2 linked regions of the Macaca mulatta genome follow. The protein of the gene in region 2 binds, or shares a complex with, the protein of the main gene of each other region. Links are inferred from orthologs where the notes say so. Each region holds a gene or a part of one and is shown on either strand. Other genes may lie near its edges.

The links.
Region 1: the proteins of KCNQ1 (region 2) and KCNE3 are in contact, whole or in part, in a cryo-EM structure (PDB 6V01), measured with the Homo sapiens proteins. The link is inferred for Macaca mulatta from reciprocal best matches to the Homo sapiens genes KCNQ1 and KCNE3. Residues at the interface, in NP_000209.2 of Homo sapiens: Arg116, Pro117, Thr118, Gly119, Trp120, Cys122, Phe123, His126, Phe127, Phe130, Leu134, Leu137, Ile138, Val141, Leu142, Ile145, Gln147, Tyr148, Arg181, Met238, Val241, Asp242, Gln244, Thr247, Lys362, Asn365, Ile368; in NP_005463.1 of Homo sapiens: Asp54, Asp55, Asn56, Ser57, Tyr58, Ile61, Met65, Phe68, Ala69, Val72, Gly73, Leu75, Ile76, Leu77, Tyr79, Thr80, Arg81, Ser82, Arg83, Val85, Lys87, Asp90.

The regions. Positions count from the first base shown.
Region 1 is NC_133419.1:74,855,128-74,861,698, forward strand, and holds the end of KCNE3 (potassium voltage-gated channel subfamily E member 3), read right to left. Parts: intron 3,310-6,571; coding exon 2,958-3,309; 3' UTR 1,923-2,957; intron 1,859-1,922; exon of another isoform or gene 1,794-1,858; intron 1,628-1,793; exon of another isoform or gene 1,522-1,627; 3' UTR 732-1,521; downstream 1-731. UniProt on the Homo sapiens protein: Ancillary protein that functions as a regulatory subunit of the voltage-gated potassium (Kv) channel complex composed of pore-forming and potassium-conducting alpha subunits and of regulatory beta subunits.
Region 2 is NC_133419.1:2,350,092-2,360,031, reverse strand, and holds the start of KCNQ1 (potassium voltage-gated channel subfamily KQT member 1), read right to left. Parts: upstream 5,696-9,940; 5' UTR 5,406-5,695; coding exon 5,020-5,405; intron 1-5,019. UniProt on the Homo sapiens protein: Pore-forming subunit of the voltage-gated potassium (Kv) channel involved in the regulation of cardiomyocyte excitability and important in normal development and functions of myocardium, inner ear, stomach and colon.

The sequences.
Region 1 (6,571 bases), about 73 Mb from region 2:
CATACTGAGCTCTTAGTTTGTGAATTCAGGCAGATCCGTTGTTCCAGGCCCCGAGATCCCTGGAGTTGCCCTGGTGTCTGTAGCTCCTTCTTTAAACTTGTGAACTACCCCATACACTTCAGAAATTCCCTTCTGTACTTATGCTAATATACATCAGGTGCCTGTAACTTGCAACCGAAATAATTTGTATTTTATGATTAAGCCCATGGAGTGTGAGGACTGTGTGAAGGGGAGCCTTCTCCACTGGGGACACTGAAGTCATAGAGTAGCCCCAGGAGGCCTGCTTCCTGCTGTCTCCCCAGCCTACCTGCCCTCATCAGGAAGGAGCTCCCTGACATCTGCCTCCAGGCTTCCCTGATCTTGTTCCCTTCATTCACTCTGCCCATTTAGCTCTGTCCTAGCTTTCAAAGCCCAGTTCAAGTTCTACCTCTCTCTGACTCCTCCTAGTCAATTTCATTTCTCAAAATCCTTATGGCATTCATCACCTGACCATTCATTCTTACACCCATTTGCGTCCCATATTTTATTTGGAAGTTTGGGCTGGGTGGTGTCTAAAGTCCTATCAGCTGTAAATTTCTCAATCTGTTGTCTTCCCATATGTCACATCTCCTTAAGGAAGTCTCCATCTTCTCCCTCAAGAAGAGATGAGGAAGGGTTTGAGCAACAGGGCTCAGCACAGGTTTGCAGAGCATCAACATAACCGCACATGGCAGCAAATGTGGCCCATGATCTCCATTCAAGAACCCAAAGGCTTTTATTTTTATTTTTTCAAAATGGAAGTACCTTTTTTCCTTTTATTATATAAGTAACATACTTATGGTCAAGTCAGTCAAATATTACATAAATTTATAATGTGGAAAGGGAAAATCACCCATAATTCAATTCCTCAGAGATAACTACTATCAAAATATTATTTCAGAGTTCTGCTATACACAAATATGCATGTTTCAGTGGGTACTTCTGGGGACCACATGGAGATCCCTTAAGTTGAAACTGGACAAACAGAACAGTGGATGGTTCTAGCTGAGATTTGGGATAGTTTCTGAATTCAGAAGTATTCACCAGCCACATCGCATGTATTAGCTGGAACCATATATGAAACTACAATACTCAGCTGTTTCTAACCTACACAGTGATTACATATGGCTCCACTTAATGTATATGAAGCCTAGAATGTCAGAACTGATAGAGCCTTAGAGACTTTCAAGTCTATTTCATTATGTTGAAGAGGAAAACGGATGAGAGATAGAAGTGTCCAGCCTAAGATCATATACCACCTTAAGTGGTAGAATCAGGGCTGCTTCTCTTCCTACTGGACCATGCACCTACGTCTCATACTCTGCTTCTTTTAATATAATAATATTTTAGGTGCGATATCAGTCTTGTCTTGTCTTTTTTTTTTTTTTTTTTTTTTTTTTTGAGACAGAGCCTTGCTCTGTCGCCCAGGCTGGAGTGCAGTGGTGCAATCTTGGCTCACTGCAACCTCCGCCTCCCGGGTTCAAACAATTCTCCTGCCTCAGCCTCCCAAGTAGCTGGGAATACAGGCACCCGCCACCAGGCCTGGCTAATTTTTGTATATTTTTAGTAGACGGGGTTTCACCATGTTGGCCAGGCTGGTCTCGAACTCCTGACCTCAGGTGATCTGCCCACCTTGGCAATATCAGTCTTTTAGAAGCAGATTCAATATGACCTCAGAAAACTCACAGATAGTCGTGGTGGCTCACACCTGTAATCCCAGCACTTTGGGAGACCGAGATGGGCAGATCACTTGAGGCCAGGAGTTCGAGACGAGCCTGGGCAACAACATGGTGAAACCCTGCCTCTACTTTAAAAAAAAAAAAATATATATATATATATATATATATATATATATATATATAAATTAGCTGGGTGTGGTGACAGGAATCTGTAATCCCAGCTACTCAGGTGGCTGAGGCAGGATAATTGCTTGAACCTGGGAGGTGGGGGTTGCAGTAAGCCAAGACTGGGTTGCTGCACTGCAGCCTGGGTGACATAGGGAGACTGTCTCAAAAAAAAAGAAAAAGAAAAAGAAAAGGAAAACATTTCTCACAGAACTCAAAACTGAAGAGGCTGCTTTGGAGGTAGTTTAGTCCTGTTGACTAGCAATGTGACTGGGAAGTACCCTGTGACTTGGTTCAAGAAGCATATGAACCATAGAGCTAACAAGGCCTAACATTCAGGGTCCTGACTCACATGAGCTCCTTCTTAAGGTCCTAGTAGGAGCCCTAGCAACATATTAATGTGGCAGTATATTTGCATAATGTTTGCAAAAGTAAGATATTTTAGAATTCTTTTTCTTAAAGAGAGTCCCCAGAATTGTATGACCTTCAGGCCTGGATCCACTCCTGTGTGGCACAGAGTTTTGAAAAGCACTAGGCAAGGAGACCAGAGTTCCTGGGTTCCAATCATGGCACTACTCAGGCCCAAATGGGCGGCACAGCACTTGCCCTGCTTTCTTTATGGGAGTGCGAGTGGGAGTGGTGGCAGGGTGGTGGTGGTAAAGCATATTTGTGATATGGGATAATCATCACTGCTTCTCATGGCTTTTGAAGATAACACATAAAAAATGTGTCCCCAGAGCATCTTCCTGTCTCATCTCCCTCTGCTACAACTTCTCCTTTCTCCAACCTTCAGGCCCCCAGTACTCCAGCCACTGAACCAGTTGTTGGTCATTATCTGTTGCTACTTTTATATGTTTGTTCAAGGACTCCCACTGTTTATAAAGTCTATCTTTTCCTGGGAAAAAATCCTTATGCACAAGGCTTCGGTCTACCAGCCCCTCTTCTCCCACCCCAGTGATGACCTCCCTTAGCCCTGTTTCTTGTTGCTCTTACAGATAGGGACACTGAGACCTGATGCAGTCCACAGCAGAGTTCTGGAGGCCCCAGACGCAATCCCCAGGTGTCTTGGTCTTCCACCATTCCAGCCCTCTCGTGTTAGATCATAGACACACGGTTCTTGATATACACATGATAGGGGTCACTACGCTTGTCCACTTTGCGGGAGCGGGTATATCCCAGGATGAGGCTGCCCACAGTGACAGCAAATAGAAACATGACAAAGAGAATGTACATGTAGGAGTTGTCATCACGGCCAGGTAGGCTGGCCGGTCGCTCTTCAGTCTGGTTGTCTGGCCCCAGCCCTGGCCCTGGCCGGCAGAGCAAATTGCTGTGAAGAGTGGCATTTAAAGCCTTCAGCACGGCATGTAGGCTCTCATACCAAGTCTCAGTTCCATTGGTAGTCTCCATAGCAACAGGGATTGAGGTGGGGGAAGACTCGGTAGAAGCTCTGTTGGCAAGAGAAAAGAGAGAGGGGATGGCTCTGTCACCTGGAGCTCAAATGACCTCCTCCCTTCAGATCCCAGTAAAATCCTAGCATCATGGCTGATATGGTTTGGCTGTGTCCTTACCCAAATCTCATCTGGAATCATAGCTCCCATAATCCCCATGTGTCATGGGAGGGACCCAGTAGGAAGTAACTGAATCATGGGGGTGGGTTTTTACCATGCTGTTCTCATGACAGTAAATAAGTCTCAAGAGATCTGATGGTTTTATAAAGGGCAGTTCCCCTGCACCTGCTCTCTTGCCTGCCACCATGTAAGATGTGCCTTTGCTCCTCCTTTGCCTTCTGCCGTGATTGTGAGGCCTCCCCAGCCATGTGGAACTGTGAGTGCATTAAACCTCTTTTTCTTTATAAACTGCCCAGGCTCAGGTATTCCTTCATGGCAGTATGAAAATGGACTAATACAATAGCTTATTCTGGTTACTTGATTACATGTTTGTCTTTTCCACTAGACCATATACTAAATAATAAAGGCAGGGCCTATATTTGTTTTACTGACTGCTATATGCAATCACTTATGACAGCACTCGATAAGTACTCAATAAATAATTGTAGAATAAAGCCTTCCCCGACCATCAGAACCCATACTAATCTCTCATTTCTTTAGATTCTATAAATCACTGAACTTTAGGTTAGAAGGACCTTAAGGATTATTGAATGTAACTCTTGCCATTTTACACACAGGGAAACTGAGGCCTTGAGAGAATAAGTGGCTTGTCCATGGTCACAGAATATTGGAGGTAGAGCCAAGACAGAAAGCCCTGCTCCTTATGGCTAGCTTAGAGCTGCTTCCACTTCCAAGCTAGCTCTCAGCAGGACTGTGTGGCACCATAAGAAGACATTCATCACAACTCTCCTTCAGCACAGTTCTCTTTATAGATTCCACAGACAGGCTGGGCACAGTGGCTCATGCCTGTAATCCTAGCACTTTGGGAGGCTGAGGCAGGTGGATCACTTGAGGTCAGGAGTTGGAGACCAGCCTTACCAACATGGTAAAACCCCATCTCTACTAAAAATACAAAAATTAGCTGGGCGTGGTGGTGAGCACTTGTAATCCCAGCTACTTGGGAGGCTGAGGCAGGAGAATCGCTTGGACCCAGAAGGTGGAGGTTGCAGTGAGCCGAGATAGAGCTGCTGTATTCCAGCTTGGGCCACAGAGTGTGACTTTGTCTCAAAAGAAAAAAAAAAAAAGACTCCATGGGTACACCTTTTTGGAAGATGCCTGGGGATGGTTTAAATTTCATCCTACCTAGAGGCCAGAAGCTGGATCATTTGACCTCTCAAGCATCCTGTGTCCCAAAGACTAGATATTCCTAGCTATTTGCAGAAATTCTGTTGGAAAGGAGGTGGTCAGGGAAATGGGAACAGGTTGGCAACCACTGTAGGCGCTGGAGAAGAGAAGAACAGCTTGGGCCTGAGGGCGGGAGAGTGAAAGGAGTTCTCAGTCTGGCTTGGGGTTTACCTGCCCACAAAAAGAAGACACAAGCACGCCAACTATCTTGTCTCCTGAAATAAAGTCATTATGTACCTGGCATATACTAAGTGATTATAAATGTTCCTTTTCCTTCTTCTCAGAGATCCTTAGTCTATAATATAGAAATAACCTTTTTTTTTTTTTTTTTTTGAGATGGAGTCTCGCTCGTCGCCCAGGCTGGAGTGCAGTAGCGCGATCTCAGCTCACTGCAAGCTCCGCCTCCTAGGTTCACGCCATTCTCCTGCCTCAGCCTCCCAAGTAGCTGGGACTACAGGTGCCCGCCACCATGCCTGGCTAATTTTTTTGTATTTTTAGTAGAGATGTGGTTTCACCGTGTTAGCCAGGATGGTCTTGATCTCCTGACCTCATGATCCACCCGCCTCAGCCTCTCAAAGTGCTGGGATTACAGCCGTGAGCCACTGTGCCCAGTCAGAAAGAACATCTTAAAACAGACTTGCATCCTTGTCTCTGAAAAACCATATGTCATTCCCTGTAAACAAGGCCCCACACTCACTTCCTTTAGGGAAGCCTCCGTTCAGTGCTCCCCACCCCTCAGCCACACTACACCACCTTTATCATCACAGCCTTCCCTTCCCCCCAACACTTAACATATAAGGCAATATGTGGCTATCCTCTTGTTTTTGATAAGGATATCATCAGGCCACATGTGCCTGGTCAGCAGGGCTATGTCTCTTCCTCCAATCTGGAGGACTACCCTGAGACTGGGTGTTCTCCTTTCCCAGGGCACTACCCTGCGACTGGCTGGGCATTCCCTTTTTCTAGGGGACTGCCCTAAGACTGAATGGGTGTTATCCTTCTCTCAATAGTTTCTAGTAAAGATGTCCACTTTAAGGAATTCTCTATGGGCCAAGCATTCAGTCCTCCATCATATGGGCAGAACTGTTAACAAACTAAAGTTAACTAATGTGACTATTAACCATAAGATCTCTTCCCTGGAAAATATGATCATTCTGACCATGATAAATATTCGTCAATGGCTCTATGAACGCAATTAGCCAGGACTGGGCAGCATTTTATGCAAGGCCTTTGGGGCCCTCTGCCATCTAGTACTTGTGCTGTCCTGTCTGGATGGAGGAGGGGAGAAGAACAAGAGCTCACTGAGTTAAGATCCAGGAGATATACATTCTCATCTACTACCCCATGTGTCAGGCAAAAGATCTGTGGCTGCTTCTTCCCTCGTGTCTGCCAATAGCAAGTAGGAGCAGCATGAGGAAATAAATAACTCAAAAAATCATCCAGATAGTTATCACCAATATGGGCCAGGCCCTGTGATGGGAGCTCGGGGTGGCTCAGATCCAGTGCCTTCGCCCAGATCCAGGGGCTCTGCTCTGATACAATGCAGGGGACAAGCCAGGAGCTACTAAGGCTAAAAGGAATAAGTAATGGATACTGATCAGGGCTTAGAGAGTGTCCACAGTGATGGAGGCATTTGAGTTGGACCTTGAAGGATTTTTAAGAGGCAGAGAAGACAAAGGAAGGCAACATGAGCAAAGGCGCAACAAAGTGTGTACATGTTTAGAAGAATGGAAAGTAGCATAAAGAGGTTGAAGTGTAAGATGTGTAGAAGAATAGCATAGGATGTGGGACAGGAGAGATAGGAGCCAGATCATGGGCAGCCTTGAGTGCCACTCTGTAGAGTTGGAACTTTATTCTGTAGCTAGGGAAGATAAAATGGTCAGATCTGTGCCTGGAAAGGATACTCTGACTGTCATG
Region 2 (9,940 bases):
TGGTGTAGCAGCACCCAGGGGCTGCAGTGACCCGTGGTGACAGCAATCCCATACTGGCCAGCCCCAAGGCACCTCCTGAGCGTGAAGCCAGACCCTGCCGCCCTCCCCTCTGTAACCAAATCCTTGGGGTCTGGGTCAAAGTGGCCCAGGATGGTGACATTCATTGCCTCATTCTCCCCCCCAGCAGCAGATGTTGGGCTTCTGGAAGCTTCTCTGCGGCATCTCCCCAGGCCAACACCATGCTCTCCTGACACTGGCCACACACCAGCATCTCGCCTTGAGCGTCTGCTCTCCCAGCTCCTCCTAGGCCTAGAATGTTCTCCTGACATCACCGGCCTTGGGACCTGTCTCCTCCCACAGGTGCCTGAGATGAGATTGTCCCAGCCTTGTTGTTCTTGCCCGTGGACAGAGTCTTGAATCACAGTGACATATCGCAGGGGTCAAAAGCCAGTTTGGAATGTCAGGGCTAGGGAGGGCTCGTCCACCTCCCAGACAAGGCAGGTGGAATGCAAGGGACTGGGGGCCCTGCCCAGGGCCGAGCAGGGGCTCAGGACCAGGACGCGTGTGTCTGCACCTTGGCTACAGGGACCGGTGGCATTCCCATCGCTGGAAGGCATGAGCTCCCTGGACCTGCTGCGTCAGTCAACAGCCCTGTTAACAGCACCCCTGGGACTCGAGGACGCTTGCTCATCTGAGCAACTCTGGATCACCCTGGCAAGGGCGTCGAGCGTAGAAGGAGCAGACTTGAAACCAGCCCGGCAGCAGGAGCAGAATTCTCGGCACCCAACGCCTTTAAAAACAGCGGCATCAGCCACCCGAGTGGAATTGCCTGCCAATCCCTGTCACTCTGATACCCGCGGTGGGCACGGTGCTCCTGCCCATCTCAGCTGCCCCCAAAGGCGCTCAGCTCCACACAGCCTGTTTCCAGCTCTGGAGCACACATAGGGTGGGTTCGGAGCTGTTCACCCTTCCTGTCCTCTGCAGGACGTGCCACATGCCAGGACGGCACGTGGCAGAACTCATAGCAGCAGCTGACATGCCAGCTCCCTGGCTCCAACCACCTGACCTCGCACTGGACGGCCCAACTGCACCCCAGGCCCTCACACCCAGCGGAATTTCATCCCATCGGCACCCAGGAGTGTCCCTGCAAAGCCCCTCCCTCAGACCTGGCCCCGCGACACATGGCAGCCAGCACATTATGTGCAAAGGTTCCAGGACCTCGCAACTGCCAAGTCAAAAGGGACCCCCCTGCCTCCAGCACCCCAGGGTTGTAGGCTCAAGCTGCAAGTACCATGCCCACAGGGAGCTGTGGCTTCAGTGCCAGGCACAGACGAATGTTCCCTCCAACTGAGGCACCCTGCACTGAGGGCACCAGCACCAGTAGCCTCTGCCACAGAGGACAAGACGCAGACTCAGAAGGCCCTGGACCCTGGCCAAGGCGGCCCAACCATGGGGCCATGCGCAGACACAAAACCCTGCCACCTGCTCCACACCCACCAGGCACTGCCCGAGCCACCTCCAAGGACCCAAGTCCCTACCATGCTCCTGACCCCCTGTCCCCACACAGGCTGGGGAGGCCCTTTCTCCCAGACTCCAGGCTCTTGTGCCACCTGGACTACCCCCTCCCCAGCTGATGGCCAGGGGTAAGGGATGCGTTCCCCCCAACTAGACTGAAGCCACAGTAGGCACTCAGCATGTTGGCAAGAGTGGATCCAGAAACACTGGGCTGAGTCTGTAATGGAGGTGAGGTGATCCCAGACAGCCAGAGGATGAGACCAAAGACTCAGGCCCCACAGAAGGTGGCACTGGGAAAAGCCCCAAAAGGCATTCCCAGTTTTACTGGGAATCTAGGGCTGAGGAGTGGGTGGAGGGGTCTTAAAGAAGATGGAAAGAGACCTGATGGCCCAAAGAGCTCCGTCCTCCTCTGTGCCCAGCTGCAGCACCTGCTTCAGCCTCTGGCCTCCCTGCCCAGCTACAGAACAACTGTCCAGCAGCTGCCTCGGACTCCAATGCCAGAGCCTGGAGACAGGAGGGCACTGAGGTCCACAAAGTTGGGTGCTACACCCTGAGAGCTGGCCTCTGCATGGCTTTGTCTTTTGGGGAGGCAACCAGATCGGCCCAATCCACCTCCAGGACCTGCCTCTGGCTCCATTGTTGATTAACATGCATCCGTGAGGGTTCTGCCAACACCCCTGGAAAGTTCTTGGGAAACAGGGAAAGGCAAGGCTGTGGGAAGGGGGAACAGCGGCTGCTGAGCCAGGCTTGGGTTTGAGAGCCTACGAGGGCTGTCCCCATGCACTCCAGGTCCCCCCTCAAATCCCTCTCCTTGACCACAACCAGGATCTCCAAGCGTCTCAGCAACCAGAATAGATGCCAGCTGGATGTCCACACCCCCGACGAAGGCTCACAGCAAGGGAGCTAGGACCTCTGGGTGCAGCAGGGCTGTATGGATCCCCATCCCCTCAGCTAAGATGGGAGCTGCCCCCAGTGGGGGCGCAAGCAGCCACAGGTAACTGGGGGTGTTGGGGGTAGGAAGCCTAAGCGGGCAAGGGTCGAGGCCCAGCGCCGTGTCCACCCCGGCCAGCCCAGGGAGGCCAAAGGGAACACAGGAAGAGCTGCTCTCCTGGGGGCGGGGGTTCCCCAAGGAGGGGACAGGATATCCTGACTGGCTTCCCCAGCCACACACAGGAGAGTTTGCCTAGCCCTGTAGGGTCAGCGGAACACCGGCTCCTGCCTCAACCCCCCTGGCTCTTCAAGGCCAGGCTTGTCGTCTTCAGGTCAAAAACCACAATACTTCTCATTTCACAATCCACCTAAGGACAGGGCCCTGTCTCTGCCACCATTGCCAAGACTTCTTACAGCAACACAAGGGCTGGACTGGCACAGGGCTGGACCTGATTTTGTGAGGCTGTAGGTAGCCTCCAGCTACTCTGCCATCCTGGCTCTATGACCAGGTCTCCCCTTGAGAGACTGGTCCTGCCAACCTCCTAGAGCACTGAGGGTGGGAGTGCATCTCCCAGGCCCCCACCAAGTCACATGTCCTGCCCAGCCAGGGTCCACCTCCAGTCCCACCCCGCATGGAGGTACCTGGGAAGGGGCTGTTCATGACAACTTCCCAGGGCCAGGCACACATCTTACAGGGACAGGGCCCAGAGCTGGAAAGGACCAGCCCCGGGTCTGGCCACTTCACAGAAGCATCCCTTTCCTGGCCACCCCCTCACAGAAGCCCTCCTGCCCTGTCCCCAGAAGCCACCGCTGCCTTGCCAGCTCTACGGAGGCTGGGTAAAGGTAGACTCTGCTGAGCAAACTTCCGAGACCTAAACAATCCAAATCAGGAAGAAAACACAAGTGCAAGCAGAGACTTCCTCTGGGGCGCGGCGGGCCCTCTTCCTCCGCACGGGTGGCTGCAGTGAGCCCAGAGGCACATGTCCACAAACCTGAATACAAGTGAGAACTGAGGGGGTCTGCAGGCGCTTTGTCTTGGCCTCTGGCTGAGGGGGTCTTCCCACCCCTGGACATCTCAGAGAGTCTGGGGTCCAGGAGGCAGGTGGCCAACAGCACACAGCACCTGTGAATCTGGCATCTGCTGGACATTTGCACAGTGGCATCAGACTTGGGTGGGTTCCCCTGGGTCACTGCACACAAACATCTCCCAAACCACAAGCCAAGCCCCCGCTGCTGCAGCCATGAGCAGAGCCAGTTCCTCTCACAGACCAGCAGCGGCTGTGGCCCAGGCACCCGCTGACATGTCAGGAGACAGGGGCTTGGGAGCCGGGGGTGGGGAAAAGTCTCCAAGATAACACCCCAACCACATCTTTGAGGATAGAGGTGGTTGAGACTTCCCCTTCCTGATGTGGAAGGCCACCTCTCAGCAAGGAAGGCAGTAGCCCTGCGACCTCTACCCCACCCTCTCACCTGAGACCATGCTTGAAGCTGGCTGGGGCCTGGCTCCTGCTGGTGGCAGCTGCCAGCAGGCATGGACAGGCCCCTGGATGCCCTCCAGCCAGTTCTCTACTGAGCCTGCCCAAGGCAGAGGAGATGCTTCCACCTGAGGATGCTCAGGGAGACCACCCTTCAGCCCTCAGGTGAGCCCCACGGCCATCAGCCATGGGATGGCTGGGTAGAGGCTCCCAGGCCAGAGGCTGGCACCACACCAAAAGGCCGCTGGCTGGGCAGCCAGGAAGTAGGGCCACTGGGGCGGCGGGGGAGGGCCCCAGGCAGGCACCGAGGAGAGCAGCCTGGACCTTTCCGGAGGTGACTTCCCGGGCCCATCCCCGAGAAATCCAGTGCCCAGCCCTGCTCAGGCACGCTGTACCGGGAATTGGAACCACCTGGTAACAGGGAGGGCCAGGAGCCTCTGCTACCAGCGCTACCGTCTGCGGGAGCACAGCTGCCTCTGAGTGAGAGCTGCAGACGTGCCTCTCCACTCTGCATCAAGCCAGGTTTTCATGAGCTTGGTTCGGTTAATATGAGGCCGGTGGGGACGCCCCATGGCACGCTGAGCCCTCAGGGAGCACTGCCACCGTCACCTTCCTCTCCTGGACAGCCCCCTGCCCCAGAGTACAACTGGGCCTCAGAGAGGTCTGAGATGTGGCACCAGCTGGACATCAGGCGCCTTCTCTCTTGGGGGCTCCTGAGCCTCGAGTCTCAGCCGACCTTGAGGAGTTCTCTTACTGAACCCAAAGGTGCGCTCCCCAGCAGGCTTCTCTTCCCAGAAAGAATCACACCTGGACCGACCCTCCCCGGAGGTGTGGAGCCAAATTCTGGGCTCCAGGTGGTCCCCTCCCCAGCCGGCTCCCTCCCCATGCCGGGCCTGCGAGCAGCTGCGCACCCCCAGACACAGCAGCGCCCCTGAACTTCAAGGGGGAGTGCAGTTTGTGTTTCTGCGTTTCCCCACTTCTTCCCTCCTCTGCTCCAGGGTCGCAGCCCCTACGGGGCAGGTGGCGCTGGGACAGAGCTCCCCCACACAAGCTCTCAGGAAGCACCTTCGTGCCGGCCGTCGCCGGTGGCGATACTCACACGGCGAAGTGGTAGACGAAGCATTTCCAGCCGGTGGGACGCTCGAGGAAGTTGTAGACGCGGCCCTGGACGTGGGTGCGCGCCAACAGCGGGCGGCGCGTGCTGTAGATGGAGACGCGCGGATCTAGGTTCACCCGCGGCCGCGGGCCAAGGTCGGAGGCAACTGGGGGCGCTGCGGGCGCGGCCGGGGACGCAGGGGGCGCGGGACCTGGGGCGCCGGGCGCGATGGGCGCGTAGAGCGCGCCGCCCGCCGGGCCGCCCTCCGCCAGCTCCAGCGAGAAGGGGCACTTCTTGGCCAGGCCCGCGCTGCCCCGCCGAGCGCCTGGCAGGCGGCCCCAACCCCAGCGCTTCCTCTCGGCCCTGGGCGGGGAGGAGGCCGCGGCCATAACAAGGAGAGCCCGCGGCGGGCCGGCCCGGGAGGCGGCACCCGGAGCTGCAGCGAAGGCGAGCGCCCAGGCACAGTGCGGGCAGCCACTGCTGCCAGCCCCGCCGCGGGGGGCCGCTGCCGGCGCAGCCCGGGCGCTCGGGGCGGGGCCGGAGGGGGCAGTGGCCGAGGACCGGTCTCATGGAGCGGCGGGCCCCGCCCCCGCCTGCACGCCCCGCCCCCGCCAGCCCGGCGCGCTCATTTCGTCCCTACCCGCGCCCACCGGCTTGGCCCGCCCTCTCCCTCAAGGACCGGCTTGGCCCTGCCTCCGCCTCAACCCTGACTTGGCCTGTCCCCGCCCCCGCCCACGCCCCGCCCACGCCCCCGCCCCCGCCCCCGCCCACCTGCTTAGTTAGCCCCGCTCCTGTCTGCAACTACCCCGCTTGGCCCCGCCCCTTCCTCGCCCACCTGTTTTACCCCGCCCCTATGTGCATTTACCCCCCCGCTTGGTTCCGACTCTCCCCGCCCACCTGCTTAGCCCCGCCCCTTCTGCATCTCCTCTGCTTGCACCTGCCCTGCCCTCACCCACCTGCTTGGCCCCCACTTCTGATGCCCGCCTGCTCTGTCTGGCCCGGAGGAGGACCCCAGCTGAGCCAGGGAGGAAGGGGTAAGGCCAGGCCGATACCACCACCAAGAACTGCACAGCCAGGGCAGGAGGGGCGGGGTAGGGTGCCGGCATCTATTGTCCCTCCCTCTGAGCCGCTCCGGAGTTGGGGGTGGTGGGAGGAAAGGGATGTACTGGGTGAGGGTGTGCTGGCCCCGCGATCACTGTGAGCGCCCCCGGGTGCCCAGGCGCGCGAGCTGTGGGCGGGGAATACTCTCGGGTCGCTTCCCACCAGGGCCCTTGGACCAGGAGGGTGAGATGGAACCACGAACTGTGATGTACCCCCCAGTGGGAGCTGTGCGGGTGCTGCTGGGGAGCGGGGCGGCACAGCGTGGGTCTGCACCTGGCTCGACTGCTGGGCATAACGGGCGGGGCTGCCTGGGCAGGTCAAGGGAGAGGCGCTTGCGCCACCCTAGGGTCTTGGAGAATGGGCGCCTTGTCCTCTCTACCCTCCGGACCGCGCTGCCGCTGCGCCCTGTGGATTCCCCTGGGTGGGGGTGGGTTGGTCACATCGGAAGATTTTCACAGGACTCTGCACTGCCTCCCGCCCGCTGCTGGCATTTGGGTCTCAGCACATCTCAGGCTTGGGGTGGTGGTGGGGGGCAGCCAACAGAAAAGACCAGCTTTTTTCAGGATGTTGCACACAGACTCGAGGCAAGAACTGAAGGTGAAGCTCAGCGGTGACTCTCAGCCCGGCCAGGTGACCCATAACTCATGCGACACTTCCAGGTCATCGCTGAGCACCCTGGGCCAATTTGACGTATCCACCACCCCACTGCCAAAAGTCTGCTCTTTTATCATGGAGAGAGTCCAGCCCAGGCCCTTGACACCTGGGTGCACAGTCTGTATTTGCAGCAAGAGTGGATGGAGTGGGGTCCCAGCTTCCCAGCTTGTGCTGGGCACTATGATAACGCAGGGGATGCAGAGGAGAGGATACCTTCCTGGGAAGCATATTGTACAAAAGGGCAGCGGGCCAGAAGATGGGGGCAGTCAGTCAGCTCTGCAGGGCACACAGCACGCATTCAGCAAGTACTGCCTGCATGGAGTCTCTGTCTTCCCCTCCCACCTCAGCGGGAGGAAGTTGAGCTTTGAATAAGCAGTGTTTGGACAACTGGACAGTCATAAAGAAAGAAAGAAAAAGGATAGCTTGGGTCCATCTCATCACACACAAGAATAAATCTCAAATGAATCAGAAGCTTAAGTGTAAAAGGTGAGATGAAGCCATGCAAATTGTACAAGAATGTACAGGTCAATTCCTCAAGAACCTGTGAACTGGGAAAACATTTCCAACTATGACTTGAAATCCAAAAGCAATAGATAAAATAAGAAAAATCAAAATAAAAACACCATTAGCAAAGTAAAGGAGACAAATGGCCAAATGGGAAAAGTATTTGCAGTTTCTATCACAAAGGATTAATATCACTAATACATAAAGAACATCCAAAACTGAGGTGAGGAACCTGCCAGACAGTCCTATGGAAAAGGGAGCAGAAGACATGAGCAGTTCATAGGAAATGGGGTTCATGACCTTTGCACTTAGGAAAAAATGTTCAACCTCATTTATAACAAGAAAAATGCAAATTAAAAGTACACTCTGATACCACTGGTTGCTTATCAGATTGGCAAAAATCCAGACCTTTGATGGCAACTCTGTGGGAGAGGCAGCAGGTGCACTCCTCGTCACTGGTAGAAAGGGACCTTGTGATATTACTAAATGTATCATTTGATACAGAAACCCCACTTCTAGGAAATAACCCAAAGATATGTAGGAAAAATAGAAAAGTACATATATATAATGATAGTCAACACAGCATTTTTTATGTTAGCAAAAGTCTAGAGACAATCACACTGTCCTTCAATTGGTTCAGCTGTGCCATGGTACAGCCACACGATGGAGTGCCATGATCAATATGATTACTAATACTCAAAGAACCAAAAGATCCCAAAGAACTGTTTGTGTGTGTGTATGTATGTATATATATGTTTATATATTTATATTTATATATGTGTGTGTATGTATATATATATCAAAGAAACAATGATGCTAAATTCCTTTGAAACCAAGATTTTCAGTATAAAAAAGATGTAGATTTAAAAAATCAAAGAGGTACAAACCAATCCTTAAATTTGAATGGACTATATTAGCATAGACTCCTCAGCTATTTTATCTTAGGAAAAAGGTATATTCTACTACTGTTCATTATCAAGTTGGAGAATGGGCTGATCAACAATGGGACAATTTGAGCATCAAAAAGAGTCATGGATTAAAACACATCAAATAGCTGAAAAGCCCATGCATTCATAATAATACTGAAAAATCCTATTTGGTCCTCTGCAGGTTGCTTGACTATTCTGAAGACAAGTGAAAAGGCAGAGTGGTCAAGCAGGTCAAGCCTCCATATTTTAAAAATTCTACGCCTGGCACAGTGGCTCACACCTGTAATCCCAGCACTTTGGGAGGCCAAGGCAGGCTGACTGCTTGAGGTCAGGAGTTTGAGACCAGCCTGGTCAACATGGTGAAATTCCATCTCTACTGAAAATACAAAATTAGCCAGGTGTGGTGGCACATGCCTATAATCCCAGCTGCTCAGGAGGCTGAGGCAGGAGAATCACTTGGACCCAGGAAGTGGAGGCTGCAGTGAGCCGAGATCGCACCACTGCACTCCAGCCTGGGTGACAAGAGCGAAACTCCATCTAAAAAAAAAAAAAAATCTAATAACTCACTGGGCAGGCTTCTTGGAGGACCCCAGGGCTGTCTCCTGGGCCCTGAGCTGTGCCACAGCCTGCTGCTCTGGGATTATGGGGTCCCATTGGCTTGGGGACACTGAGGCAGGAGAGAGGCTGGACAAGGGATTGTCTTCATGCTCCCTGCAAACTCCAAGGAACTGAAGGGGGATGGGTGGGGAACTGAGAGGAGGGAGTAAGGCCAGGTGCACAGGTGAGGTAAGGTGGGGCTGGGCTGGGCTGGGTATGGGCTCAGGTGAGGGAGTAAGGGCTGAGGGTGGGGGAGTAAGGGTAGGTGGCCTGGTAGAACAGGAAATACAAGTGGGGCCTGACTGAGCCCAGTGGCCACTCTGTGTGAGCAAGGAGGTGAGGAGGGCCCCTATCAGCTGAGGGAGCAGGACCCCTGGGGTCCCTCCACTGAGGAAAGCCCCTCCTCTATCATTCTGGTGGGTGCACATGTCCAGCCCTGGCTGTCCTGGATGCAAAGGCTGACAGACCTATCCAGCCAGCTTGAACAGGGAGGCAACCCTCCCCCAACCTCTCAGGCCCTCAGGCTGTCCCAGAGCCTCAGAACCTTCTGGAACACAGCTCTCAACCTACCTCACACCAACCTTCCAGGGCTGTTTGCCGACATCCCTCAGTTCACTAGGCTCACCTCATGTTCCTTCGACAGGGTCAGAGGCCCGCAGTGGGAGGAGCCTCAGAGGTCACCAAGAATGCATGAGGAATGGGGAAACTGAGGCTGACCAAAGGAAGGGTGTGTGGCTGCTATGAGATCAGCATCTGTGGGCCAGGGATGGGCTGCTAGAACAGCCAGCCCACCAAAGGCTTCCTGGCCAACATCCTCCTTCAGGTCATCTTCCTACCTATTCGTTATTCCTTCATTCATTCATTTGTTCCCCCAGATCCTCGTAGAGCACCAGCTGAGTGCCAGGCACTGTTCTAGGCGCAGGCCACAGAGCTGTGTGCAAGACCACCAGGTAGTGGTGAGACAAAGAAAATGAAGGGGGCACAGGATGGGGTTGCAGAATGTGGAGGATGGTCAGCAAGGGCCCTGGGGTCGTCTCCACAGAGACCCTGGAGCAGGCCCCTCAGCGAATCTGGGAGGTATTTGCTGTTGGAGGACTCTGCATGCAGTAGGCACTCAATGCAGAATGGATGGGCAGCTA